Anolis sagrei: one gene and its partner. The protein of the gene in region 1 interacts with the protein of each later gene in a pairwise test. Links are inferred from orthologs where the notes say so. Each region holds a gene or a part of one and is shown in the gene's direction. Other genes may lie near its edges.

Region 1 (15,605 bases):
TATTTGTGAGGGCAAATACACTGAAGAAGAAGAGTTTTGAAAGCACATGAGGACTTGGCTGATGCAGGTGTTAAGAGGATGTAGAGGTCTGTGGAGAAGGGCACAGTGTCTATAATTATGTATGGTACCAGATGTCTTCGCAGTGAAGCCAGAAATCTGCCATGTGTGTCAATCACAAGAAGAGCTGCCAATTCCTGTCATAAATGCTGCATGTCCCAAGAGATTGTGATAGGTCATAAGAGTAAAAAGTTTATCCTATCTCAAATGTAGGTATATTACTTTTGCCTCCATTTCTCTTCCCACTTCCTAGTTTACAGGGGGAATGGTTGTGAATGATGTGTTGATTATTCAAATACCTGATTTTTAAAGGTGTGACAGAGAATAAGCAGTGCCTGCCATGTTGCAAAATACTAGATTTGGCAGTCAAACGTACAGGAAGGGATAGCTGTTATCAATCATATTGTGCTGCATTGAACTGTCTACTCCCCACTGGCCTTTACTACATCTCACCAACAGTGCCAGCCAAGTGTAAAAAGGCATGAATAGGTATTCTCACATGTGGGTTTGGTTGGTTGCATACTGCAAGTCGCTTCTGGGTGAGGGGAGATGAATCTTGCTCTTCCCAGTAAACTCAGGCAAAATCAAACTGCTGTGGCCTCTCCTAGCTTTTAAGAATGGAAGTGATTGAATCTATGATGATCAGCTTGCAAAGCATTTATTCTACCATCAAGTACATTTCTTCCCCAGTGTGATTTTCTGATTGTGTTCTGTGCTGTCGCACGCTGGGCCTGTGCATAAGACTGTAGACAGGACATAAATTCTGTGTGCCCAATGGGACGCCGGGGCTGCCTCAGATTAAAGGCCCTTGGATTCCCCCAAACAGAGTCTTTAGATTGCTTAAAGGTTCAACAATGTTCTTTATTAAGGAAAACAAACAGGTACTTTCAAGCTTTCTTAACAGTCTATTGGCTCTTGCAATCTTGTTCACTGGGAACAGGCACTATCTTCTTAACTGTAATTAACTAATGGGGAAATCCTTAACTTCTAATCTGGGCAGTCTGTACTTGCCTCTGTTGGCGTGGAGCCCCTGCACCCAGTACCAACTGCGTCTGGCTTCCGCGAGTGACCCTTACCAAGCAGAGCTTTGTAGACTTCCAGGGGGAAAAGAAGGAGTTCAGGTTTCAGTGATGGCTGGCTGAAGTCCTTCATCAAAGGAGCTGTAAGGCTGTAAAATCCTCAGCCAAGCTGTGGGGCCTTTTCTCCCCGGCCAAGCCGTAAGCTGTATATCTCCCCGGCCAAGCCGTAGAAGACGAAGCTTTCTACAGGAGCTCTTGGTTTTATGTCCTGTGCGAAAGGCTTCTCTGTGTGGACTGAACTCAAAAAGGCTCCTATTCCCACCAAAAACCCAAAGGGGGTGGGACCAGGGAACCTAACTATAATTGACAGGTGGCTTGCCCTATGATTGCAGCCAAAAGAAGCCACCTATCTGCAGAGTCCCTGAAACTTAGGACTACAACAAACACTCAATTCAAAGCAAACAAAATTGGAGCTCCTGGTACAGCTGTACCAGCACATGTTCAGATGTGGAGCAACCGATTTACCATATTTCTGATAACATCACATTTCCCTGTGCTATCATCTTTTTGTTGTTTGACTTTAACAGAATTTGACATGAGAATTTCATTTTTCAGCTTTGGTTAATTTTCAGTAACCTTATAAATGGTTCCTATTTCTATGTATGGTTGGGTAAGATGGACTATGAAGAAAGTTTATAGAAAGAAAATCAACTTATTTAAAATGTGCTGCTGGAGAAAAGATCTAAGGATACTGTGGCCTACTAAAAAAAAAAAAAACAAATAAGTGAGTCCTAGAGAAAAAACCCAAAAGCTGGGTTGCAGCTAAACATTAAAAAAACAACAACAAGATTATGGCAACAAGAATGATTGGGAACTGGGAAATAGAGGGAGAAAATGTGGAGGCAGTGACAGACTTTGTATTTTTAGATGCAAAGATGACTGCAGATAAAGACTGCAGTCAGGAAATTAGGAGACACTTATTTCTTGGGAGGAGAGCAATGTCCAATCTCGATAAAATAGTGAAGAGTAGAGACATCACACTGGCAACGAAGATCCGCATAGTTAAAGCAATGGTATTCCCCATAGTCACCTACTGATGTGAAAGCTGGACCATAGGGAAGGCTGAGCGAAGGAAGATAGATGCTTTTGAACTGTGGTGCTGGAGGAAAGTTCTGAGAGTGCCTTGGACTGCGAGAAGACCCAACCAGTCCATCCTTCAGGAAATAAAGTCCGCCTGCTCATTGGAGGAAGGATAGTAGAGGCAAAGATGAAGTACCTTGGCCACATCATGAGAAGAAAGGAAAGCTTAGAGAAGACAATGATGCTGGGGAAATGGAAGGAAAAAGGAAGAGGGGGTGACCAAGGGCAAGATGGATGGATGGGATCCTTGAAGTGACTGGATTGACCTTGAAGGAGCTGGGGGTGGTGACGGCTGACAGGGCGCTCTGGTGTGGGCTGGTCCATGAGGCCACGGAGAGTCAGAAACAACTGAACGAATGAACAACAACAGAGAAAAAAACCAACTCTCTTTAAAATCCACAATGACTAAATTGAGACTGTTGAACTTTGGCCTTATTATGAGAAAATATGACTCGCTATAAAATACAATGTTTGTATTTTAGGCAGTAAGAAAAGAGAAAGACGATATTCCAGATAGATGGATTCAATGTTGGAAGCCACAGCCCTAGTCTGCAGGACTATTGATAGCCAGTTGACTTAAAGGTTTCTCATTCACAGGGTTGCCAAAAATCAAACTAAACTTGACAACAGTTAATAACAACAACACTTCTTACATTATCTTGAGACTACATGATGTCTTCTAATTTAAGGTACATCCTTGAGCGTAACTGTGTTTGGGCTTCCCATATGGTTGGGCACTGTGGAACAAAAGATGCTGAATACACAGATTAGGCTCTTACATTTATTTTAGTTGTTTTATGAGGCACTCAAGACTTATTTGGTAATTAAAAATGGACAGTTTCAGTCCTGCTCCCATTCCTTTTCCAATCTATCTTTTTTCTGTGATCCCTGATGAATGTGGCAAGGGGGGGGGGGGGGGAAGCTTAAATTAATTTGCTGCATCATTTGCTTTCCCTCATACCAACATGGCTCAACTCCAGAGTGCATGAGTACACTGCAGTTATTCCTACTCTTAAACAAATTAGATATCATAATGTTAGAATTAGTTGGAGTAGGGCAGCTCGCCCTCTGCCAGATATAACACGAGGGTCTCAGGAGAAGGATTAAAATTGGAGGAACTGCAACACATGGCTTTGTACTGACTGACTAGTTTTTCTAATTGACCTGCTGCAGATTTTATAAGCAAGTGAGTGGAAAGGAAGAGAAATGGTAAGTCCCTGTCTGGAATATAAAAATGCAATGTGGGGGAAGATATTGTGTTTTGGATTGAAGGCTGGGTGCCCCCCTCCAACTATATGGAAGCTGTTGGGGCGGGGGGGGGGGAGGGGGGGGTTCTGGATGACAAGTGGATGGGCCGGGAGAATATTTCATTCTCCTCCTTCTCTAATTGTATTGATGTTGTGTTCTGATTTTGTACATGGTTGTTTGGGGGTGAGCTTCAATGCACCTCTTTGTAGTCCTCTATTTTTAGTATCCACTCACTGCTGCATATTTTGATAATTAAGTGGAAAGTTTATGTTAATTACTTTCTCATTTTCTCATCTCTTAGCTTCTATATATCTCTCTCCTCTCTCACAAACCCTGCTTTAGTGGAACTTGAAGTTTAAAACACATTTAGCAGACTTTGAGTTACTTTTCTGCAACCATGTAAAATGGAAACAGACATCACTTTTTAAAGTGATAGACATCTGTTTTAAAGTGCCACATTCAAACGCTTAAATACATTTTAAAATATGATACATGCAGAGAAGGATCTTATTTAATAAGTGATCTTTTAAGCTGGAAGTTTCATCAGACTAAATTTGGGATCCTAAATCTTGAATGCTCTTACCACTGCTTTCTGAGAACAGCATTTCTTGATTGTGAGTGCAGAGAGAGAGCAAATAGCAAAACTGTTGTGTAGAATGCTCTAATATATTATTATTATTATTATTATTATTATTATTATTATTATTATTTTACTGACATAAAAGCAGAGTATGTCACAGCAAACGAGATCTATATGCTGGATTTCGTATCAAAAAATCACAAGTCGAACACTTCCCACTTATTATTATTCTTTTCTTAGGTGATCCCTTGTCAGCCGAGTAGGATAGTCTTCCAGGATCAGAATTCTTGTGAGTCTGTAGGTGGCTGTGGAGCTCTATTCTTGATCTGCATCTTCTTCCGCAGCGAGGGCATTGATTTCCAGGTGGAAGGAGTTGGCTTGACGCGCCTTCCCCTTGGCACGTTTCTCTCTTTCACCATTCGTGCCTCTTCAAATTCTGCAGCACTGGTCACAGCTGACTTCTAGCTGGAGCGCTCAAGGGCCAGGGCTTCCCAGTTCTCAGTGTCTATGCCAGAGTTTTTAAGGTTGGCTTTGAGCCCATCTTTAAATCTCTTTTCCTGTCCACCAACATTCCGTTTTCCGTTCTTGAGTTCGAAGAAGAGCAACTGCTTTGGGAGACAGTGGTTGGGCATCCGGACAACGTGGCCAGTCCAGCGGATTTGATGGTGGAGGACCATCGCTTCTTTCAGCAAGCTGACGTTTGTCCGCCTGTCTTCCCAAGAGATTTGCAGGATTTTCCGGAAGCAGCACTGATGGAATCGTTCCAGGAGCTGCATGTGACATCTGTAGACTGTCCACGTTTCGCAGGCATATAGCAGGGTTGGGAGGACAATAGCTTTATAAACAAGCACCTTGGTATCCCTACGGATGTCCTGGTCCTCAAACACTCTCTGCTCCATTCGGAAAAATGCTGCACTTGCCGAACTCAGGCGGTGTTGTATTTCGGTGTCGATGTTGACTTTGGTAGAGAGGTGACTGCCAAGGTAGCGGAAATGGTCAACATTTTCCAATGTTACACCATTAAGCTGTATCTATTATTATTATTATTATTATTATTATTATTATTATTATTATTATTATTATTATTATTAGAAACACAACAAGATGAGTCCACAGCAGCCAAGATCACTCTGCTGGCTGTTGTATTGGATTACACGTCGGACACTTCCTAAGTGTCATCTTCCTCCTCCTCCTCCTCCTCCTCCTCTTCTTATTTTACTGACACAAAAACACAGTATGTCACAGTAAACAAGATATATATGCTGGGTTTCGTATCACAAAATTACAAGCTGAACACTTCCCAAGTGTCTAGGGCTCTGTGATGCATTTTTGAATGATGTGCGCAGATCCATGTAAGGTGGCCTTTTGCAGTTCACAGATCATGATTTTGTCAATGTTTATTGTTTCCAAATGCCGGCTGAGATCTTTTGGCACGGCACTCAGTGTGCCGATTACCAATGGGACCACCTGTACTGGTTTATGCCAGAGCATTTGCAGTTCGATTTTGAAGTTCTGATAATGGCTGAGTTTTTCCTGTTGTTGTTTGTCAATTTGATTGTCACCTGGTATGGCAACATCAATAATCCAAACTCCCCCCCCCCCCCCCCCCACAATCACGAGGTCTGGTGTATTATGTTCCAAAACTTTGTCAGTCTAAATTTGAAAGTCCCACAGTATTTTTGCATGTTCATATTCCACTACCTTTGCGAGTTTATGATCCCACCAGTTCTTTACTACTGGCAGGTCGTTCTTGTGGCATAAGTTCCAATGAATCATTTGGGCCACATAGTTGTGCCTTTGTTTGTAGTCTGTTTGTGCGATTTTCTTGCAGCAGCTGAGGTTATAATCAATGGTTTCATCCTTGCACAGTCTGCATTTTGGATCAGCTGATTTTTGATCCTGGCCTTGATTGCATTTGTTCTGATTACTTGATCCTGGACTGCAAGAATCAGTACTTCTCCTCCTTCTAATTATTATATGTTTTAAGGCACTAGAAACATATCTTATTTTTCTAACCTTGATTCATGAACTGATTTTTTGTGGTCAGTCCCTAATTACTGCACTTGAGTGGATCAGCACCTTTTCACTTCATTATTTACTTTTCAACACCACTTATTCTTCATTCACCTTAAACAAACAAGGAAACTGAAAGGTGAGTTATCACTACATGTTTGAAGAAAAAGAGAAAAATCCTGGATCAGCCAAGAAATTACAGGATGGAATCTCCTGCTTCAGGACAAGCTTTCATAAATTGACAATTTCCAGATATATTAGACATTCTTAGCCAACAATCATATTATGGGATATTCAGGAAACAGTGAAAGTGGGAAAATGGGAGAAGACAACCTTAAAAGGACCAAAAGAGCACTCACGAAGGAGTCAACAGTGAAATGTCACCCCAAAGGTGTAATCCTATGACTTTTTCTGTAAATCTCATGATTTGCTTTGAAAGCAAATGACTCTAACAATTAAAACATTAATGTGGTTCTATGTGTTGTTGAAGTGTGGAGGGATGGGTGTGTTGTGTTGTTTTGTGATGTGTGCTGATTTTGAGCCCTAGATAATATTAACAACAGATTGAACATTCCTAATCTCATTTTTTCCCCACGTAAGTGGCTGAGTAATATCTTTGTTTTCTAATACTTCAGTGTACACAGACTTTATACCATGTACAAAACTATTTACAATATTTTTCTTTAACTGCCATAACTCAATTCTGTTGGAATCATGGGAGTTGAAGTTTAGTGAGGTGCCATCATTCTTGGGTAGAGAAAACTAAAGATCTTGTAAAATTACACCTCTCATAAATTTATAGCATTGAGTCATGGCAGTTTAAATGATGTCAAATTGCAGAGTAGATGCACTCTAGGAAAATCTATATTTGCATATATGTACAAAATGAGATATCTCGGAAATAAGACCAAAGACTAACCATGAAATTTGTTTATGTTCATATATAACATATTCCACAGTATAGATGCACTCCAAGTTCTGAAAAATCCCCTAAATCCAAAATGCCTCCAGTCCCAAGCGTAAGTGATGGTCAACCTGTACAAACTCTACTGAGGTCAGAGCTGGAGGAGTGCACATGCCTCGGAGCCCTGTTGACTTTCAAATCACAACCTGGGAGAGATTGTGGAATGCATTTCCTCATTGGGCAAGCTGCAAGCTATGGAAACAGGAAATGGGAAGAAAGATAGACAGACTGAAGAAAGACAGGAGGAAAGGAGGGGGAAGAAAGAAGGAAGGCAGGAAGGGGGAAGAAGGAAAGGAAGGAATACATGAAGGAAGATGGGGGAGGGAGAAGAATAAAGGCTGAAAGGCGGGATGAGAAAGGAAAAAAGAAGTAAGGAAGAAGGAAAGAAGGGAGGAATGAGGGAGAAGAAAGAAGGAAGCAAAGAAGGAGGGAAAGAGGGGGAAGGAAGAAGGAAGGCAGGAAGGAGGGAGAAGGGGAAAGGAAGAAGAATGAAAGAGAGGGAGGTGGAAGAAAAAAGGAAGAAGGAGGGAGGGGGAAGGAGAAAGGAAGAGGGGAAGAAAGAAGGAAGGAAGGTGAGAGTGAGGGGGAAGAAAAAAAGGAAGCAAAGAAGGAGGGAAAGAGGGGGAAGGAAGAAGGAAGGCAGGAAGGAAGTAGAAGGGAAAAGAGAAAGGAAGAATGAAAGCGAGAGGGAAGGGGAAGAAAGAAGGAAGATGGGGAGGGGGAAGGAAGAAGGAAGGCAGAATGGAGGGAGGGAGGGGGAAAGAGAGAAAGGAAGTTACAAGGAAAGACAGAGTGAGGCAGGGGGAAGGAAAGATGGGAAGGAGGGAGTAAGGAGTGGGGAAGAAGGAAGGGAGGAGGAAGGAAGAATGATGGAGGGGGAAGAAAAGAAGGGATACAGGAAGGAAGGAAAAGAAAAAAACGCAGGAAGGAGGGAGGGGGAAAGAAAGAAGGAGGAAAGAAGGGAAGGATGGAGGGAGAAGGAAGGGAGCGGGGAAGAAATAAGGAAGGAATGAGAGAGGGAAGAAGAAGGAAGATCGAAGCAAGGAAGGAGGGAAGGGGAAGGAGGGAAGGGGAAGGAGAGGAAGGAAGGAGGAAGGAGGGGGAAGAAAGAAAGGAAGAAAGGAAGGAAGGAAGGAAGGGAGGGAGGAGAGAGAAGGAAGAAAGATGGGGGAGGGAGGGGGAAAGAAAGAAGGAGGAAAAAAGGGAAGTAAGGAAGGAGGGAGTGTGGGGAAGAAAAAAGGAAGGAATGAGAGAGGGAGGAAGAAGGAAGATAGAAGCAAGGAAGGAGGGAGGGGGATGGAAGGAGGGGGGAAAGTTAAAGAAAGGAAGGAAGGAGGGGAAGGAAAGAAGGGAACGGAGGATAGAGAAGGAAGAAAGATGGGGAGGGAGGGGGAAAGAAAGAAGGAAGGAGGAAAAATGGGAAGGAAGGAATGAGGGAGTGTGGGGAAGAATAAAGGAATGAGAGAGGGAGGAGGAAGGAAGATGGAAGAAAGGAAGGAGGGAGGGGGAAAGAAGGAGGGGAAAGAGGAAGGAAGAAAGAAAGAGGAAAGAAGGGAAGGAAAGAGAGAGAAGGAAGAAAGAAGGGGGAGGGAGGGGGAAAGAAAGGAAGGAGGAACGAAAGGAAGGAAGAAAGGAGTGGGGAAGAAAGAAGGAAGGAGGGAGGGAGGGAGGAGGAAGGAAGATGGAAGCAAGGAAGGAGGGAGGAAGGGAGGGGGGAAGAAAGAAAGAAAGAAAGAAAGAGGGAAGAAGGGAAGGGAGGAGAAGGAGGAAAGGAGGGAAGGGGAAAGAAAAAAGGAAGGAGGAAAGAAGAGAAGGAAGGAGAGCTGTTTCTTCCTTTGACAAGCCACCCCCCTTCCTGTGGCTGAGGGGAAACCGCCGGCCTCCTTTCCTGAGAAGAGGCCTCCTGGCACTCCTTGAGCTGAGGCTCGGCCGGCTTCCCTTTCGGGCCCAAGGAGGGACGCTCCGCCTCCATCTTGCGCAGCGCGGCCCTGGGAGGAGGTGCTTCCCTCGCTCCCTCCCTCGCTCCGTCCCCCGCCCGGGCCCTGGCAGGCAGCGCCACCCTCGGCTGTCAGGCGGCGACGGAGCGAGTTGGGCCGGGCCTGGGAGGCAGGCAGGCAGGCGGGTGAAGGGCTGTGCGGGCCAGGGCGCCGAGGGGCCCGCGCTGAGGAGGAGCCGCCGCCACTTCCGCCGCCGCCGCCACCATGTTTAGGCGGATTTTGCAGAGGGTAAGGGGCCGGGCGGGGGTCGGTGCCAGAGGTCAAGCGGGAGAAGCCACAGCAAGAGCAGCAGCCTGGGGAGGAGGAGGAGGAGGAGGAGGCACTACTACTTCCTGGAGCCGGGCTCGGGCAGCAGCAGCAGCAGAGCAGGGTCGCGCCCCCTCTGCCGCCTGGGGCCGCCTGGCCTTCGCCTCTCCCACTGCCTCGCCTCCCCTTCCATGCACAACGTGGAGCCCGCGCCCCTGCCGGCCTCCTCCTGCCCTCAGGCCTCGGATGAGGAGGAAGGCTTAGGCCTCCCTCCCTCCAGAGAGAGGGTCTCTCCAGGCAAAGCCAAGGGGGCCACTGGGGATGGTGTGGGGGAAATCTAGGCCCCGACTACTCGTGTTGGATTGGGCCACTTCCCCCTGAATGTCTCCACTGGGGTTTGGTTCTGCAGGGAGGGCCAACATTCACAAAGGCCCCTGGTTTTTAACGAATTTTTGACAAGATTTTTTTTTACACATAATGTAATGTGATTGTGATGCCTATAAATACTGTACAGACAGTCCCAAGTTACGAACAAGATTTGTTCTTAAGTTGAATGTGCATGTAAGTCGGAACAGACACATTATAAAGTTTAAATCCAGCCCCATATAGAGCAAAACCACCACCACATGGGTGTTAACCCTTCCCTATGCTATATATCAGTGGCTCCCAACCTTTGTTTTGACCAAGGCGCACTTTGGTCAGGGTCCACTTTGACCAGGCCCACTTTGTCCAGGGACCACTTTGTCCAGGGACCGCTTTGTCCAGGGACCACTTGACCAGAGCCCACTTTGACCAGGGACAACTTTGACCAGGGCCCATTTTGGACAGTTACCACTTTGACCAGGGCACACTTTGAACAGTGACCACTTTGAACAGTGACTACTTTAACCAGGGCACACTTTGAACAGTGACCACTTGACCAGGGCCCACTTTAACCAGGGCCCACTTTGACCAGGGACCACTTTGGAACATTAGTACCAAAAGGTTGGTTGACTCTGAGGAAATGAGCAGAAATAAAAAAATAAAACCAAATAAAAAAAGAAAGAAAGTTTGCAAACCGGATTTTCGTTCTCACAGCCCACAGCTGGGCTGTGGCCTACAGGTTGAGAGCTATCTATATCTGTCTGTCTGTCTGTCTGTCTGTCTGTCTATCTATCTTTGTCTGGAGAGAGATATATATGCAAGCTTTGAATAGTACAGGAAAGGGTTAACACCCCTGTTGGGTTTGTTTTCCTGCTTGTGCCCTTGTTCAGAAGAATCCAACTCACTTTCTGTCCCTTTGATAATTGGATTTTGGAAAAAATGACTTGTGGAAACAAGGATTGGGGATAACGCTCCAGTGGAGATGCCCCATGATAACTCTCTCAGGACTTAATTTCCCTTCCGAGGAGTAGATTTCTCTCACTTCCTGTTGTGGCACTCTTGTTCTTGACTATGAGTCTTTTGTTAGATGCTTGTAACTCTGGGACTGCCTATATACAACACTATGGTATTGCAAATTAAACATAAAAAAGGAGTTATCAAGTTTCAAAACCTCTTTGTGAGTTTTGACCCACCTTGTAGGACCTCAAAATCCATGGATGTTCAAGTCCTTTTATCCCTTTTATAAAATGGCACAATTGAAGTTTACTTTTTTGGATTTTTAAAAAATATTTCAAGCTGTGGATGGTGGAATCTGTGGATGCAGAATTCATTCTTATGGAGGGTAGACTGCGTTTCAAAGACAGGGTCTCTATTGAGCAGGCAGCATTTGAACCATATACTCTTGGAGATTTGCAACTGGAGTGGGGGCCCTTTTGATCAGCCTGGTGCGGGATAAGGACTAAGCAGAAACAATCTTTTGGTGGAAGGGGAGGTAACAGAAAGTAGGAATTTGGTGAAATCCTGTGGCACTCATTTGATGAAGGATCTGAAGCTGTTCCTACATGCCATCATGCCCCTGGGTTAAACATAACTGATTTTCATGTTTAGACTTGGATCTCATTTCCAAGATATCTCCTTGTGTATATATGTTCAAATACAGGTGTTCCAGAATCAGAAATCTGAAACACTTCTGATCCTAAGCATAAGGGATACTTAACCTGCAGTATGTGCAAACTAAATTATGGTAGCATGAGAGAGCTCCATTTTCGTGGTGGTGGGTTGAAAGAAAGTAGGAATTTGGTGAACACCTATAGAACCCATTTGGTGAAGGATTTATTCCTGGAGATGCCTCTGAATGTCATCATGCCATTGGGTTGCTACCAGAGAGCTGGCAAACTAAATTATGGTGGAATGGGGAGCTCCATCTTTGTGATGATGGTTGTAAAGAAACTAGGAGGAATTCATTTGGTGAAGGTTTTGTCTCTGGAACTGCTCCTACATGTCATCATGCCCCTGGGTTACTGTCAAATGATTGGCAGACTAAATTATGGTGTGAGTTTGGTGAACACCTATGGGACACATTTGGTGAAAGATTTGTCCCTGGAAGTGATTCTGTATGTCATCGTGACATAAGATTACTGTCAGGAAGATGGTAAATTAAATTATGGTGGTATGGGACGTTCCATCTTCATGATGGTGGAGAAATTAGGAGTTTGGTGAATATTTATGAAAGTCATTTGGTGAAGGATCAGACTCTGAAGTTCCCCTATCTGGCATCATTCCATAAACTGCCAGATTGTTAGCAGACTCAATGACTCTGTTATGGAGAGCTCCATCTTTATGTTGGTGGGTGAAGAGAAAGTAGGAGTTTGATGAACACCTGTGGAACAATTTGGTGACTGGTTCATTTCTGGAGCTGCCCCAACATGTCATTAGGCTATGGGGTTGTTTTCAGATGGTTGGCAGACTAAATTATGATGGTAAGGGAAGCTCCATCTTCATAGTGATGGGTGGAACAAGAAGGAGGAAAGAAGATGGGATGAAATTTAGAAGGGAGGAATTAATCATGACCAATATATAGAGCATTGGTTCTCAACCTGTGGGTCCCCAGATGTTTTGGCCTTCAACTCCCAGAACTCCTAACAGCTGGTAAACTAGCTGGGATTTCTGGGAGTTGTAGGCTAAAACACCTGGGGACCCACAGGTGGAGAACCACTGATATAGAGGATTCATACAGCTTTGAGGGAACTTTTAGCTTAGCTTCTGTGAATTTATCTCCAGTTGCTGCAAAGCCTAGTGCTAAAGGCCTCAGCACTTGACACAGAGTTAAGCCAGACTCATTTCTCCTTGTCGCTGGGAGGTGACTCCCTTTGAGGGCGGATGACATTACTCACTGACTCTTCCAAGGCTGCTGTTATTAAACATCACAGCAGATTACATCAGTGCGAAGTTGCAGGAGTCATTGCCTGTTGGCTCATACAGACTCTTGATATCTCACACACCTGTTTGCATACATTTGCAAACGTTGGTGGCAAAATATGGTACCACACATCCACTTATTGATAGTTTGTACAAGCTGCACGTGCCTGAAAAGGGCAAATACACCTGTACTAAGATGATATAAAGTACCTCCCCAGCCAGTAAAGCTCTTACAATTGTCTTTTGTAGTTGGTTTTTTTAAATAATCTTTTATTACTTCTCCAACTTACTGTGGCTAGGGGAGGAATCATGACATCCCCCATATGTTGTTGCAACTCTCAGAATTCCTCACCAGCCAAGTGGGTTTGCTGGTTAGGATCCTCGAGTTGCTTTCAAACAACATCTGGAGGGACATTGGAATGATTCCCCTGATTGTGGAAGGGTTTTGACTCAAGATTTATAGGTAATGTGAGCCCATATTCAGTCTGGCTTTGTAATTAAATTGTCTTCACTAAGAAGATTTAAGAAAGACTTGCCCATAAGTCTGGAGAATTGCTGTCAGTATATGGTACTGGATCAGTGTTTGGCTATTATATGCATTTTGGCTTTTCCATTCCACTGATTGCATTAAAAAGAGGAAGTTTTGGTTTCCTGTCGTAGTCACTGTGAATCGTACATTTGGTATCCCTGCGCTTGCGCAATACAACTTTACGGAACCTTCTAGAAAGTCAGAACACTTTAAGCCCTCAGCTAGGCCCGCCCCCCCCCCCCCCCCCGAGTATATATAGCCTGAGGGCGGGACTAGCCGGCAGTTCTCTTAATCCGCTCGCGTGTGAAGCAGCTTTGAGAACCTTCTGTCATTGCTAGATTGATCCTTTTGACTTGGACTGTTCTTCGACGACTCTTCTGGCAAGCCCTCTCATTTGACACTGGACTGCTTTTCGACGATCCTTTTGCCAAACCCTCTGGTTAGATCTGAATTGGACTGATCTCTAACGTTACTGACGCGGACCGGAATCGGCATTGAGCTATGGCAACCACTTCCTTCAAGAAGTGTACCAAATGCCCTAACATCCTACCGGACACCGATGGGCACACCCTTTGCCTTACTTGCCTGGGAGAGGCCCATCTGACGCAATCTTGCGCCATATGCCTCTCTTTTACTCCTCAAACGAGGAAGAACAGGGTGTCCAGGCTTCGGGCGGCTCTCTATGAAAGGGCTCTCATGCCTCCCGCCGCCCCCGTCCAACCGACCGAGCGTTCGGACCTACCTTTCCTGGCTTCCTCGGCCGGCCCGGCCAAGAAGAAGGACAAGAGGCCCAAGCCTAAGGAGGCTCAAGATGGCCGCCATGCTCCCGCTCAGGAAAGACCTCCCTTAGAAAGAGCGGGAAGAGTGCTGGATGCTCGCCGGCCAACTACGTTGCCGCCGACGCCGGAAGGCCCTCCTGGGGCCGTGCTCCCTCTACAGGCGGCCGAGTGTACTTTCGCGGCTCCGTCGACGTCGACGCCTCTATCCGCGCATGCGCCCGCTATGGCGCAGGCGGGCCAGACTCCTCCCACCGCCGCGATGCCGGTCGTCTCGCCCCCGCCCCTTAGCCGGGCCCGAGAGTCCCCGATGCCGCCTGATCCGGCGGGGGCTGTTGCTATGGCCTCAGGGCCGCTGCCTCTTCTGCCGGCTTCCCTGTTGGAGGGGATATTTACAACCCCGCCTCCCCCGACACCGGGCGAAGCAGCCGAGGTTGGTCCCGATCGTGCTCAACCAAATGCCGTGGATGCTCCCGGAGGGGGCGAACCCGCGGGAGAGGAAGCCTCTGCTGAGCCGGTACCGGCGCCTCCCGACCAAAGTTGGCCGCGCCACCAGGAACACCGCCGTAGCGCCAGACCGAGGAGGTCCAGGTCTCCATCTAGGAGGAGTGGGAGGTCGCGTCGCCGCTGGCGTCGGTCGGCTTCGAGGCGCTCGCGCTCCTCGTCGACCTCCTCCTCATCGTCTTCCTCCTGCTCCTCAGCCTATTCGAGGAGGAGCAGGCGATCCCGGGCCTCCAGACCCTCGCGGTGGCATCGCCCTTCTATGGTCCCTCCTCCCTGCCCCGGGTTCTGGCAGATGGGCCCCTCGGGCCAAATGGTGTTTGTGCAGGCCCCGGCACCCCCCGCGCCTCCCCTGCCGATGCCTTCATTCACAGTTCCAGCGACAACGGGGGCCTTACCACCTCCAGCTGCTTGCCTGTCGGTCGCAGCTGCCCAACCTCCCACCTCCAGTCAACAGGCTCCGGGGAGAGCCCCTCCCTGCGGAGCATCCTTTGCATCGACCTCGAATGACTCTAACGTGTGTGCTGTGTCATCTGTGCCAACCTCATCTTTACCTGTGTCGGCGTTGCCTACCTACACCCAGGACAGACTACCAGGGGACAATGTCACCGCTTTGGCTGTTTCACAAGCCAACTTTCAAGGTGATTCCACCCCCATGGGACTATCTAGGACACCCCTGCCTGAAGGCTCTGAACAAAGGGCCGCTGAATTGGCTAGCTCTGACTCTGACCATGAACAATTGGATAATGCTCATGTTGGGGAGGGGGAGAATGCCTCATTTATTCACCCTGCTGATTTCAATAAGTTTGCGGCACTCATTGATAGAATGATAAAGGCTTTGAACATCCCCGCTCCCAAACCCCCCGAGCATGTGGAGGACCCGATGTTCCCGTCAGAGGAACAGGTTGTAGCCCCCGCGTCACCTCTCCCGGTCCTCCCCTACCTTCTGAAGTTAGCTAGAGTGTCTGATATGTCCCCCTCCTTGGTCCCCGCCATCCCCCGGCGTTTGGACCTATTATATAAAATCGATGTGTCGTCGGCTAAATGGGTGACAGCCCCTCCTAAACCAAACACCGTGGTGGCCGAGGTAGCGAAGACCAAAAGACCCAAAAATTCACTTACCGCCCCCCCTGACAGGGAGGGCAAAAAGATCGATGCTCTGGGACGAAAAGCCCATCTCTCAGCAGGGCTATTTACCCGAATGGCCCACTATATTACTTATGCAAGTGGTTACCAAACCTTTTTATGGGGAA
Region 2 (14,720 bases), on another chromosome or scaffold:
TGCTGCATTTCCTACTCTCAGCTTAAACTTGAGTCAATCCTTTTCCCCAGTTTTTGTGGTAAAATTAGATGCCTCGGCTTATACTCGAGTATATATGGTAGTTTCCTGTGGTAAGATTTGAGAAAAAGTCTGCTGCTTTTATAAGATTACATATTTTATCCGCATTCAAGTGTCCCTTTCCTAGAGATCGGGACAGAACCTGGGAGAAACTTATCACAGCTTTCAGAATCTGTTCCGTTCACTGAGAGTCCTGGCCCTTGTAGCATGTTCTGAAGTTTGAATCCTTTTTCTTAATGCCAGCACTGAGTAGAACATTTAGAACATCAGGGCTGAAAATATATTAGCTGTTGTGAACACTAAAGATTGAACTTGTTTGGTTGGTTCAGTTATATTATCTCCTTGATTAAACCATTAGTGTAGTGCCACACGATGGAAATTATAGAGAATGGCATGCCCGTTGTCACTGGTGGAGCACTTTTGTAACTGGCTCCTTCAAAAGGCGTCTTTTTGCTCTTTTGTAGTAGTTTCCTTTCAACCTGGATTTCCTCCCACATGGACTACAAAGTCCATAATGGCATTGTTTTCTGAGAATGGTGGTAATTTAGTACATCTGGGAATTATCAGGTTAAGGAAGACTGTTCCAACCATGGGTTCTTATTTTACAATCGTTTATTTTTATTTGCATTTCTACCTGTATACTTCACTCATTCTTCAAATAATAATAATAATAATAATAATAATAATCTTTTATTTATACCCCGCCACCATCTCCCATAGGGGCTCGGGTGGCTTACAAATAGCACACATAATGCCACGCCACATATAAAATACAGTATATGAACATTAAAATACAATGGCATATTTAAAACCAGACATATACAATTGACAAAAAAAAATATAGCAATAGTCATTGATTAAAAATCCATGCAATCAATTTAGCCTTGGCTGGCTAAAGAATAGTCTGGCTGCTATCTTAAGCGTTATCAAATAGCTTTAGCAGAACATTTTTTCTGTGTAAGATAATGGTGGCACCCTTTTGTTGCTCCACTTTCAGTCAAGAAATGTAGTCTGCAAAGATCAATTGTAGAAGATTGACTTTGCAAGCGGAGCCAAGGATCCTAAAAAAACAATTTGTGGCATCTGCGGTTTCATTGATCAGGTATATAACACATGCCTTCCTGTCTGCAACTATCTTACCTTGATTATATTATTTAAAAGCGGCTGGTGGAGGAGAAAGGGGTGAGAACAAAACAGAGTGGATAGAGGGATGGTATAAGCGAGAAGAGAAGACATCAAGAGAGAAAGAACTAAGGGATAGGTTTCTTGGATCATTATTTTTTCTTGGTAGTCTTGTTTTTGTCCCATCTCTTGATTTGGATATAGAATCATATCTTTGTTCTGAGAGGCACAGCTCTTGTCTGGAAGAGGGAGGTGATTGATTTATCCTATTTGGGGGTGGGTGGGGTTTCCTGCCAGTTATTATAACTCATCTTCCTTTCCCCTTTAGCAAATGCTGCATTATGATCCTAACAAGAGAATCTCAGCCAAGACAGCTCTCAGCCACCCCTTCTTCCGGGATGTCACAAAAGCTGTGCCGCACCTCCGCCTGTAAGAATCAGGAGCAATGCTGCTTCTTTGGACTGCACTGGTTGCTTGCACTTAACTTTTCAACTTAATCTTGAATGGCATGCTATGGTTCCTCTTGGCACAGAGTCTACACTTTAATAGTTTATACTCTGAGGTATATTTGAAAGCACTAGCTGAAGACTGGGTGCTTCCAGGGAGCCTTGTGACACGAGGGAAGGGCCTCCAGAGCCACCTGCTTCAAGGACTCATTTTGTGGAAGAAACCCTCACCTCTTGCTCTTCTCGCAGAGCATCTTCTGTCTTGGCCGACCCTCTGGTTTCATCTTCAATATAGAACTCAGCTGTGCTTTTCTTTGAGAAAATGTTGCTGCCAGCAAGAAACCATTTTTCTTATTCATATCAGGATATTGACTTCAACTATGGTGCCTGCCTGGCATTCTGTCAAGTGCATTCCGGTGCTAGCAGAACCTTGCCCTCTTTTTCCTTCCAGACCTTCAGAAGAAAATTGTGCACTTAACTCTCCACTTATTGTGAACAGGAAAATATTTTACTCTGGCCAATGATTCTACAAAATCAAAATTAACGTGCCTTGGGGCTCATGAAGCTCACACTCTGGGAACTCAGAATGTCTTGCTAACCATCTAAAGGACTGCTTGCCATGTCACTAGACATTCTTGACTTTTCTGATGTACTAGTGTTTATTGGGCAAATGGGTACATACTATCACTGTTCCACTCATCCTTCCACATCCTACTCCTGTACATGTATTATTTGTCTCTGTCTATATGCTTATAGCCCATTAAACATTAATGCAATAGATATGGTTACAAACTTCATCAGGCCATGCTCTCTGCAAAGGTGCCTTTCTCCAATGGTGTCTTGTGCTCAACTGTCGTTGATCTCAAAGATCTCTTCCAAATACCTACAACTGGAGCAAATCTGCCTTGGCTTGCAGGAGTAGAGAGTTCTGTCTCTCTACTACTGATGTGTATCTTACTGAAAATGTCATCACATTTGTAACCTGTGCTGCCCTGCACAAAGATGGATGTCTGGAAACAGTTTCTATCACTATGCCAATTTTGGTTTGAAGGAAGTAAAGCATTTGGGGTTCTTTCAGTGAAACACACTGCATGGTTTCAAAGGACTTGAGATATAATAAAAACAATGATGTTTATGTCTAAGGGGAAAATTAGCTAAACCCATGGATTTATCAGGCAAATTCCATAAAATGGTTTATATACTGTCAAAAGAAGTAATTATTATATTTTCATTGGTGAAGAGCTATAGGTACCCTTTTTGTTAGTTTTGAAGACATGCCTACAACATTAAGGTTTTGTCTCAATGCAATATTAAGCATTGAAACCTTAGTCAATCCAATAACATGAACAAACCCAATGTTTTTGCCTTATCTATGATAGATTTTGAAATGTTACCCTCTAGATATTTGGATCAATCTATCACCAGCAGCATTATGAGAGCTGGGGGGAGGGGGTGGGCTCTTTATTTTGTAAAATTCTATTTTGGGTGACATATATTCTATCAAAAAAAGAAGTGTCCTAAGGAAAGTAAGGTTCAATTGTCCTCAACTCAAACTCAGCAACAGAATTACTGAAACAGATTATTATATAATCTATAACTGTATATCTTGAAAAATACAGGTGACATGCAGTGGTCTTCACTTGAGAGAGTTGGGGGCATTTCACATCAGTTGGGCTAACATGGGAATGCTTGTTATAGAAGTGTAAATTCCAAAATGAATCAGCAAAATGCTCATCATAAACGCTGACTCCACTGCTATATACAATATTTGGATACATTTCTTTTTTTCTTCTCTTGATCTTTTGGTTGGAAGTAATAGATATATTTATAAGGCTGATGAATTTCTGATTTGTAAAAAGCTTGTAAGTCTAAGCACCTTGGCATTTTTTCAATGTGGACTTTTTAAAGAAAAAATATTTTTGTCTGTAGATCTTTGTAAGACTTGATTTTTAACTAACACCTGTTTATGCATAATTAAAAGTATTTTGTAGTTTTAAAGGAGCATTTCTTGAGTATTTTTCCGATTGGATGATGTAATGAAATCTGAGCTCTTCATCTACTGCAGTGGTTGTCAACCTGTGGGCCCATGGGTGGTTTGGTCTTCAACTCCCAGAAATCCCAACCAGTTTATCAGCTGTTAGGATTTCTGGGAGTTGAAGGCCAAAACATCTGGGGACCCACAGGTTGAGTACCACTGATTACTGTGAGCATCTCTCGAGGTAGAACCGTTTTGTGCTATTAATATTAGTTCTCTTCAAACAAAACTGATTTATTGCACACTTGTATCTACACTGCAGCCTATCAGGGATACACTCGATTCGTGAGTCTGTGGACCCAAAGAAATAGAGAAAGCTGAACCACACAAGTCCTGCAAACCATATAAATCTTAAGTGGTGAAAATATGGGAGCCAGTTTATTGAGAACCAATGAATTACCTCCATACTGCTAGTTACCTATAGGCCCATGTGGAAGCGGTTCTATATGTTAAACTCATATTCTTTACATAGCTGCCTTATATGAAGTCAAATGAGCAGCCAGCCTAGGTCAATACTTACTACACTAATAGCAGCTTTCCAGGATTTCAGACCAGAATCTTTTGTCTTGTCAAGCTGAACTGAACTTGAAAGCTTTTGCACATCAGAGGTGTTCTTTAGTGCTAGGACCATTCCTAAAAAGCTCCAAAAGGGCATTTACTTCCAAGGCACAACACATACAGCAGCGATGTGATATTAACCCAACTGCAGAACATGTACTTCATTATTGGATGCTATCTTCAAGTGTTTAAATTGATAGTAAGTGTCCTATAGCTACAGAAACTGTAAGCAGCATATAGAGCATTTATATGTACCTGAATTCTCTTTGTGTCTTTCTGATCAATTATTACCAAGAATTTCATTGTCAAGAAATGAGAAATGGAGGTTTGAAAGATTAAAATGGGTGCCTGATCATTGATCATATTAACTGCGACTGATGGCATCCTAAAAACTTCTGAAGAGCTGAAGGTTCCCATCCTTGCCATGAGTAGACAATAGTTTGGACTACAGATTTCCTGTTTGCGTTTATTAGGATTCAGTGTGATAAAAGTAACAGCTATTACTACAAGACAAAGTGAGAATTGATTTCAGCAAGGTAGTGATTTGGCTTGTGAATGCAGCTCCCTCACTCAAATTGCCAAATGAGTTAAAACAGGTTCAGTCAGTTATTCATGAGCATTGAACAGGCCAATGAGGGCTTCTGGAAACTGGAGGCCCAAACAGCTGGAGGGCTGTAGTTTGAGGATGCATGGTTCAGATAGTAATTCATTTTGAGAAGCATAATGTCCATCTGCTAATCAAGAAAAGCAGTGCATAAAACGTATATCAAAATGTCGGACGCATTGCTGATGGGTTGAACTTATCAGGGGGCGGGCTTAGAGCAGCAGGCTAAACTGCTGTGCTGCATAAAAATATTGCAGATCAGAAGGTCAGCTGTTTGAGCCCAGGTCAGTGTGAGCACCCGCCATTAGACCCAGCTCACGTGCCCACCTAGCAGGTTGAAAGCAGAAATGCGTGTAGATATAATAGGTACCGCTTTTAGGGGGGAGAGAATAAAGATGCCCTTAAGGACATCGGAGGAAAGCTCCTCGGCATGGAAGACAGCAACACCCTTCTTCACCAGAGTTGAACACAGCTCCAAGATGCTGGAAATGTGATGAGAAAACTGTCTTTACCTCTGTTTGTGTTATGGAATTGTATTATGTTGCATATGGAATATGTGTAACTTGAATATGGAATTGTATTATATTGTATATGGAATATGTGTAATCGACATTTGGAATGCCTCGATCTACCAGTTTGGATCATGTGATTTTTATCAGGTGTTTATAATTTTTATACTTTATGTTTAAATGTTCTATTATCTTATGGATAATTTGTCCTATTATATTTTATGTTCAGTCATACGTATTTTGACAGATTTCCTTCAGGCTATGTGCATAAGATGTATATGAAACACCAATGGAGTGTGTGTCTAGACTTGGGCCCCATCTCCAAGATATCTGCTGCTCTGGGCCAGAGTGAAGAGAGAGGGGGCCAGGGGACAATTCCACCTTGTCTCCTGTGCTATTCTAATAATATATAATGTAATATAATACATTGCATATACATATAATATTAATAATATTGTAATGCAATGCAATATAATACTACTACTAATAATAAGATATTTATATTACATGTACTGTTACTAATAATATTACAATATAATGGTACTAGTTGTCCCCTGCCACTTGTTGCTGTGGCCCAGTCTGTATATATGTGTTTTGTGTGTGTATATATTTGTGTATATGTGTACATATGTGTGTTTGTGTATATATATGTGGTTATGCACGTGCATTGTAATTCATTTTTTATTTTTTAAGTCTCTTCTGCTGTGTTTTTCAGTGTTTTTATGAGTGATGGCCACTCATTGGCCTGATATGTGCATTGTGTCCAAATTTGATGTCAATTTGTCCAGTGTTTTTTGAGTTATGTTAATCCCACAAATGAACATTACATTTTTATTTATATAGAAAGATACTAGCTGTACCCACCATGCGTTGCTGTGACCAACCTTTCCTCCCTCTTTCTCTCCTTCCTTCCCTCCTTCTTTCCTTATTTCTTTCCTTTTCTCCTTCCTTCTCTACCTCTTTCTTTCCTTCCCCCTTTTTATTTTCCTTCCTATTTCTCTCCTTTCTTCCTTCTCTACCTTTCCTTCCTTAGCTCTTTGCCTCCATCCTTCCTTTTCTCTTCCCTTCTCTCCCTCTTTTTTATGCTTCTTTCCCTCCTTCCTTCGCTCCCTCTTTCTTTCCTTTTTTCTGTCCTTTCCTTCTCTACCTTTCTTCTCTACCTCATTCCTTCCTTTGCTTTTCACTTCCCTCTCTTTCCTTCTCTCTTTTTCTGCTTCTTTCCTTCCTTCACTCCCTCTTTCCTTCCTTTCCTTTTTTTTCTGTCCTTCTTTCTTTCCCCCTTTTTCGTTTCCTTTCTCTTTCTCTCCTTTCTTCCTTCTCTACTTTTTATTTATTTATTTAGAACTTTTATATACCGGTCTTCTCGACCTCCGCAGAGGGATTCAGTCCAGTTCACAACAGAAGATTCATAAACAATATTTTAAAACATCACATCCCATAATACCCTAACACATTAAAATACAATCATATAATTACATAAGGTCGTCATTCTTTCCTTCCTTCATCCTTTGCTTCCATGCTTCCTTCTCTCTTCCCTTCCTCTCTTTCCTTTTTCTTTCTTCCTTTCTTTCTCCCCTTCCTTCTCTCCCTTTTTTTCTGTATCGTCATTTAGCTTTTCATCATTTACCTTTTTGGGGTTTTTAAGTCCTTTCCACTATTTGGGTGGGTGGGGGGCGGCGGCGGTTATGAGTGACGGTCACTCGTTGGTCTGTTAAGGGTGTAGTGTCCAAATCTGGTGTCAATTCGTCCAGTGATTTTTGAGTTATGTTAACCCCACAAACGAACATTACATTTTTATTTATATAGATAGTACAATATCGTAATATATAATACTGATATTGTACTATGCTAATAATATAATATATTGTATATAGACAAATATCTTGCAAGCCGTTCTGAGTTCCCTTCAGGGTGAGAAGGGCGGCATATAAATGTCGTAAATAAATAAATACATGCAAGTACAAAATATGAAACAATCTGAAATCCCAAACACGCCTGATCCCAGGAAGGGGGCCCAACCTGCACTGACCACTGAAGCGTTTCTCCACCGAGAGCACGGCTCCCCAGTTAGATATACTTCCGGACTCCAAGATCTTCTCCTGATTATAAGGGACCCAAAGAGGTCAAGGGTTAGGCGCCTCCTAGGCACCCTTTTTCTAAGGAGCAAAATGCTGCCACTCAAATCCGAGGTCACTTCTCATTGGGCGTGCGTGACAGCGCGCTCCCTGATTGGGTAAAAAAGTTCGAGCCGCGCCCACCAGCTCCTCTGTCAATCACTCTCCCTCCCCCGACCTCGAGGGCCTCCGGCCTGGGAATGGACAGCGAGAACTGAATTCTAGAGTTCTAATTGGTTTTAGCGGCTCCATGGTCCCGCCCCCTTTAGGTCACCTTATGTGTTGTTTATGAAGCCGCCTTCCTACTGGTGGGCTCCCTCGTCGTTTAAGCAAATGCCCTCCCTTCCTTCCCCGCGAGGTGCTTTCTAATTGGCTCTCCCGCCTCCTTCCTGCCATTGGCGAGACCGCTCCTGCCCATTCTTCCCTTCGCGGAGCCCCAATTAGCCGGACGGGGCCAGGGCGCGGTTTCCTCAAAGGCGATTGGCCGGGAGGGCGTGTCCGTGCCCCAGGTGCCTTGCGCCCATTGGCCGGGGACGCGCTCCAGCGCCGCCTCCGCGTGCAGAGGTGGGTTTGGTTGAGGGAGTTTGTTTGTGTGCGAGGCAGTCGGGGCCCGCGGAGGGGGGCAGTCGGAGCCGTCCCAGGTAGCCCTCGAGGGGTGGGAGGGGGGCTTGGTTGCCTAGGCGATCGGGAGGGGGCTGCGGGGGAGGAGGAGGAGGAGAAGCCGGGGCCTTGGAGCGGAGAGGGGCGGGCGGGAAGGAAGGAAGGAAGGAGGCCCCTCAGAGCGGGCGGCGGCGGCGGCAGCAGCTTGGGGTAGGCCCTCCTTCCCCGAGCCAGGAAGGGTGGGCGCTTGGCTAGGGCTGGGTGGGAGCGAGGAAATGGCGGAAGGGGGCTAGGCAAGGAGGAAAGGCCCGGCAAGCACCCTCGGGCCACGGGGCCGGTGTGAGGGGTCTCTCAGCCTTGGAATTAGGTTGAATAGAGGCGGGTTTTGTGTTAATTAGAGATAGGACCCTTCCACACAGCCCTATATCCCAGAATATCAAGGCAGAAAATCCCACAATATCGGCTTTGAACTGGGCTATCTGAGGCCCCTTCCACACAGCTGTATAAAATGCCACATTTTCTGCTTTGAACTGAGATATATGGCAGTGTGGACTCATATAGCCCAGGGCCCTTCCACACAACCCTTTATCCCAGTATATCAAGGCAGGAAATCCCACATTCTCTGAGTGTGGATTCAGATAACCCAGATTCAAAGCAGATATTGTGGGATTTTCCGCCTTGATAATCTGGGTTATAGGGCATTGTGGAAGGCCCCTGAGTAGATAATGCATGCTATAGTGGTCTGAGTACTGGAGTAAGATTTTGGAGGACCGGAGTTAGAGGACCCTTCCACACAGCTGAATAAAATCTCACATTTTCTGCTTGAACTGGAATATATAGCAGTGTGGACTCAGATGTCCCAGATAGATATTGTGGGATTTTCTGCCTTGATAGTCTGGGTTACATGGATGTATGGAAGGGACCTTCAGTCCACACTGCCATATATTCCAGTTCAAAGCAGAAAATGTGGGGTTTGATTCCAATGTATGGAAGGGGCCATAGAGGGGTGGAAGGAGGTTGGAGAGGTTGCGTTCCACATCTGTGTAGTTCTCAGCTTTGCGCCTTGCTTTCTGTGGGGGCAAACTGTGGTTTGGTTGAATGATGTGGAAACAAAAGTGCCGGAGTGCCATAGCCTTTGGGAGCACTCCCTGGGTGCCAGGTAGCCACAGCAGCCTGTATGTGTTAATCACACTCTTGGTAGCAATGCTTTTAGATTTAGGCTGCTGAGAAACCTTGCCAGATGTTCATGGTTCCCACCCTTTAGTTCTCCAGGGGTTTTGGACTTCAATTCCCCAAAATCCTGACAGTTTCCCAAGTTGACTGGGGTTCCTGGAAATTGAAGTGCTAAACACTTGACAGCGCAAAGGTTGGGAACCATAGCCTTGGATCAAAGACTACAGCAGGATATATTTCTGTAGTCAGTGTACTAGCTGAAAAATACATCTACACTAGGTATCATCACACTGTGGCCCTCCAGCTATTTGGGCCTCCACTCTCAGAATTCCTGACCATTGATGAAGCTGGCTAGGACTTCTCGGAGTTGGAGACCGAAACAGCTGGAGGGCTGCAGTTTAAGGGTGCCTGATTTACACTGTAGAATTAATACATTTTGTCACCACTTTTTACTGCCATGTTTCTTTGCTATGGAATCCTAGCAGTTGTAGTTTTGCAAGGTCTTTAACCTTCTCTGCCAAAGGGCCTTCGTACCGCAATAAACAACAAATCACAGGATTCCAGAGCAGGAGCCATGAAGGTTAAAGTGGTGTCAAAATGCATTGATCCTACAGTGCGGTAGCAACCAAAGTCTGTTTTTTGTTCCCGAAATCCTGACCTGGTAACATAGTTGTAGAGGAGTCACATCAAAGCCACAAGACCTGCTTCTTGCATAATGAAGGTGGGACGCTACACAGCACCTGGGTAGTAGAGCTTGCTGCTGCCCTAGTTTCTTTACAGTTGAGTTGTTTGACCTGTTGAAGCTGCTAGTTCTTTGGACTGTCCATATTTTGTTACTTTGGAAACCTTTGTGCTTTCCCGCAGCACTGAAGTGCCCCTTTTCACCATTGAGCACTCTAATAAATCATGATGGTTTCTCTCTATAAAAATGGGTCCTTGGGAGAAGGAAAGTATTTCAGGCTATTGTCTGATTTTTAAAGCAAAGTCACCCACAGTGCAAACAGCTTTCATAGAGAACCTTTGAGTTCTGGTTGGTCATGTCTGATGCCAGAATTCTGGTTGGGCATGTCTGATGCTTTCACTAATACTGGTATTTATCTCATGAATGTTATAGAGATGGGCACATTAGGGATTCATGGATCTTTTCCTGCTTTAAGGCGCTTATAATCTGTTCTTTTTACAGCCTGTCTCTATTAAAAATGCATTGGTGTGGGCAAGTTGCCCAGAGAAACAGTGAAGAAAAAATTACATTCTTTTGTTGTTCAGGAATATCAAGACAGAGATGGCTAGTTGCAAATACTTAACATATATCCTTTTCTCATAAAGCACCACAGAGCCTGGTGGTTTGAAGTTATCAGTGCTGAATTGTTTTAAAAAGTAAACTGTGCAGTCCATCTTATGTTCAGACTAGTTGGATAAGTCACTGGTATGTTCCATGGGCTATTTTATTGGAGTGGTTGTTTTTTTAGATTCAGTGGTTTTTTTCCTCCATGGGTTTCCCTTTGCTGTTACTCAGGTTTGGAATCTGATACTGAACCATTTGTAGGACTGCAAAGAAAAGAAAGGATGTGAATCATTCGGATTAGATTGCAAAGAGTTATGAAGTCATTCAGTGTGGGTTTGTCCTAGAATCTCTTGTCCAGTCTGCAGCATAGCAAATGATAAGCCTTATATTGTTTACTTGTGGAGACTTTCCCCTAATCTTCTGAAAGAAGTTGCTTCTCCCTCTGTTATTATTCCTTGCTACTGTTACCAATTTACCTTTGCTTGCTAAATGACAGCCAATTTCAACATTTCTTGCATGATTTTGTAGTTGATGTGGCTAGATTGTTTAGCTTAAGTGTGATGTTATCTTAAGAGGATAAGACATTCTGTATAGCATTATATCCCACCCTCGCCCCCAGTAAAAAAGTTAAACTTCATTGCAGAATCTTATTGAGATTACAGAACTGTTTAGAACAGTCAAACTAATGTGAAGTAGTGTTGGTATAAAGAGCTGAAAGCATAATTTCTCAATAGTATTTTGTCAGAACTTGCATAATAGTGTGCCATTATTAAGCAAAGTACTGAATGTTTGTTTGATTTCTTTCTAGTAATATTTATTTTTACATCTATTTTTCTGGCTGTTAGGTGCCTATGTGTCTTTTGCCTCCACTAAAATAATAATTGGAATGTGTAGTCTTTATTTTGCACTCCGTTTTCTCCTGTCATTTCTTAAATATTTATTTCCAGTATTTATTCAACAAAGTTCTTTGTAAAGTGGCACTAACAGTGTTGTTTGCTTAGGCTGGCTGTCCTCCATGAGTGTATGTAGCTAGAAAAAGTAATACATGTATTAGATATAACAAATCAAGGATTATCTGTTTTTAGTAATCTTATTTTTCTAAAAATGTCCCATTAGTAGGGCATAACAACATTTAAATTGTCACACATTTCTGTCATCCTATATACAAGATTTGTATTGGTGATTGTAAATTTCTTTCAACCTAGAAATTGAAAGGGTTCCTATTTTCTTTTTGAGGAAAAATCCAATTCCAAGTGTTGCTGGTAATTTTGGTAATTTGACTGCAGTGGAAGACAAGAGAATTCCCAAAAGCCTTAAAAGAGCACCTTTGGGTTTGTTGGAGAAGGTTATCTCTTAACCAAGTACCAGGTGGCAGAGGGTGTTTATTATCTTCATGTTCTGACTCCCAGCTGCTTGAATTTGAAAGCAGAATGTAAGGCTGACCTTTGGTCTGATCCAGCACAGCAGTTTCTTTGGCCACTTAGCAATACAGGGATTTGTTGCTGTTCCTGCTAGCTGACCCATATGAAACAGCCAGTCCACTTCCTGCCTTGCACTGCCTTGAAACTGGTGTCCTTTGTCCTTAATCTGCTTGAAAAGTGCTCAAGCAATATGTGAAAGAAGCTCACTGAAATACTAAAATCTAGAATGCTTTGTAGTACCTTGTTCTTCTTAAGTAATGAACTAACATGTATATGTTATATTTAAGTTTACAATAATCTGACTCACTTTGGAGATGCAAAGCACCAAATAATACTATAGATTTTAACCCAGGTCCCCAAATAGACTCCACACCTAAAGATACAATGTTGCTTCTGAAATATATTCAAACCTTTGCTCTGATCTTCAGGTGGAGGGAAATCCATAAATATAGAGTAACCCTTGCCTTAATATTTTATTCAGACATTGTGCTCAGATCATGCTGTTAAATGGTCTCTATTGATCAGAGTTGAAAATATTAAGTACAAGGTAATTTCAAGGGTGTGCAGTGCTTAAATATATTTAGGGTTTTGATCACAACCAGTACGCCAGTGTTTTTTCCTGGAAGATTGCAGGAAGGCATTTCAGAGTCAAGAGCAGTAGCAGAAACCTGATGTGTTGTAAATTATCGAATATCTCAATTGATTGCAGATCAAACCAATCTTGAACTTTGTTCAGAAAGTATAGGTGTTTGATGGAAGGAAGAACACATATGTATTTTCTTTTGCTTTGCTCACATATATGAGCTTGTACTTACCATATATACTTATGCATAAGTTGACTTCATGTAAAAGTCAAGGGTGGGTTTTGGGGCCAAATTCATGGGTGTGTGTGTGTGTGTGTATATATATATATGCCCTGTAGATAAGTTGAGGGTCATTCCACAGAAAGGGGAAAGCACCAATTCTGTCTCAGGATGAAGTACTCAAAATTCCAGAATTGGCACCACGGCACAGAGAGTAGAGATCAGTTCAGCTCTTAGGTTCTCCCAGGATGGACTAAGCTCTTACCTTTCACCACTGTTCTCAGAGAAGGGAATCATTCCTTTTTTTCAATGAGATGTAAAGTCAAGTACACTCATATTGACTCATAGATACACCAACTCAGGTTTTTTGGGTTGGTTTTTTGACTATAATTTCTAGACTTATACATGAGTATATAGGGTGCATGTTAAGATTATGAGTATGTCTTCTATCCTTCCATTTTATCAGAAAAAGATTCCAAGTTGTCAAGCCTATGCATTTTGTACTGCATGCTAATGTGTGCGCCTTCACATATTTTGTTTAAGCCACTTGGTTTTGTTCTTTGAGCAGTTAGAGGAGAGTTGGTGTGGGGCAGACACGTGCAAATGAATTAATATATTCCAAGGCAAAAATGAGGGTTCTTGATTACTGCCAATGATATCATCCTTCTCTGGAAGAGTTTCAGTTCTGCTTCACTGTCACAGATGTATACCATAGAGTGGCATCCTGTTATTTAGCCCCAACCTGTGTAGACCCATTCAATCAGTATTGAATGGTGATTCAACACAGAGTGTCAAATTGTAAGAATTTAGTAGCAGTGTGCTTTGTATGGCTATTGTCTTGGTGCATATTTCAATCCTTTATTAAACTGATGAAAGCCACTAGATCTCTGTTTAAAATATGAAGACCAGATATGTGACAGTTGAAGATACAGTATTTATTTATTCTACAGAACCCGTAGAATAAGTCAGTGCTGTTGAGAAAAATGTTAGTCCTTTAAAAGCGTTCTGGGACAGCGCTTGATAGGCACCCTAACACAAGGATATCCTGACTGCTATCACAGATCTCAGTATAAAGTGTACATTGCTGATAGGGTGACAGACATACTCTCTCTGAAAGATTACTTTTGTGGTTCATTTAACTGTCTTTTGTGCCATAATCTAATTAAATAATCTGTCAAGGGAAGACATTTAATTTAGTGAGGTCTTTGCCCCTTGGAAAAATCAAGCCAGATATCTAAACTGCCTCTTGTTCTCTGACCCTGATGTAATATTCCTGGCAAATGTCAGCTTCCCATCTTGCTCTGCCAGCATTAAAAGGCACTCCCTTCAAGAGTAGAACAATAGGATGGGTAAACATGTAATCTCACTTCTTTCAGGTTTATCCTTGAATTGGTGCAAACAGATCCCAGTCAAACAGAACAACTCGCCTCCAATGTGCTCATTTTACATGCTTAAATAGGAATGAACTAGAGTCTCTCACTGATGATATTTGCTTGTTTCAAACATTGGAGTCTTGTTTGGAATCTGTGGGAAAAACATGAAAGCAGAAATTACAGTAGTTGTAGTGGCGATGACTTGATACAGTGATAGATTCGGCATGTTTTCCACTGCCTTCAGATAAGATTTTGAAGTAAGATGAATGATGCTGTTGGTACTATACTGCCATCTATTAGCATTAAAGATCAATCCCTTCAGGTTAACCTATGCAGATTATTTTAAAATTATGAATTTTAAACTATCCACTAATTATTTTATTATATATTGATTGTATATTTTGTATTGAACTGATACTATGTGTTTTTAACTGATATAATGGCATGATTTTAATTGTTTGGTTTTAATTGTAATAGTTTATTTGATATATGTGTGTATGGCATCAAACCGCTGTCTGTTGTAAGGCCGCCTTGAGTCCCCTCTGGGGTAAGAAAGGCGGGATATACATATGGTAAATAAATATGGGAGAGTCCCAAAAATATTGATTCTGAACTTTTTG

The links.
Region 2: the proteins of EEA1 (region 1) and RAB5B interact in binary tests that used the Homo sapiens proteins (3 or more experiments, as listed by UniProt). The link is inferred for Anolis sagrei from reciprocal best matches to the Homo sapiens genes EEA1 and RAB5B.

The regions. Positions count from the first base shown.
Region 1 is NC_090025.1:154,439,808-154,455,412, reverse strand, and holds the start of EEA1 (early endosome antigen 1), read left to right. Parts: upstream 1-9,042; 5' UTR 9,043-9,222; coding exon 9,223-9,246; intron 9,247-15,605. UniProt on the Homo sapiens protein: Binds phospholipid vesicles containing phosphatidylinositol 3-phosphate and participates in endosomal trafficking.
Region 2 is NC_090022.1:146,515,089-146,529,808, forward strand, and holds the start of RAB5B (ras-related protein Rab-5B), read left to right. Parts: upstream 1-7,938; 5' UTR 7,939-8,009; exon of another isoform or gene 8,010-8,086; intron 8,087-14,720. Other genes in the region: CDK2 (cyclin-dependent kinase 2), read left to right, coding at 1,508-1,612. UniProt on the Homo sapiens protein: The small GTPases Rab are key regulators of intracellular membrane trafficking, from the formation of transport vesicles to their fusion with membranes.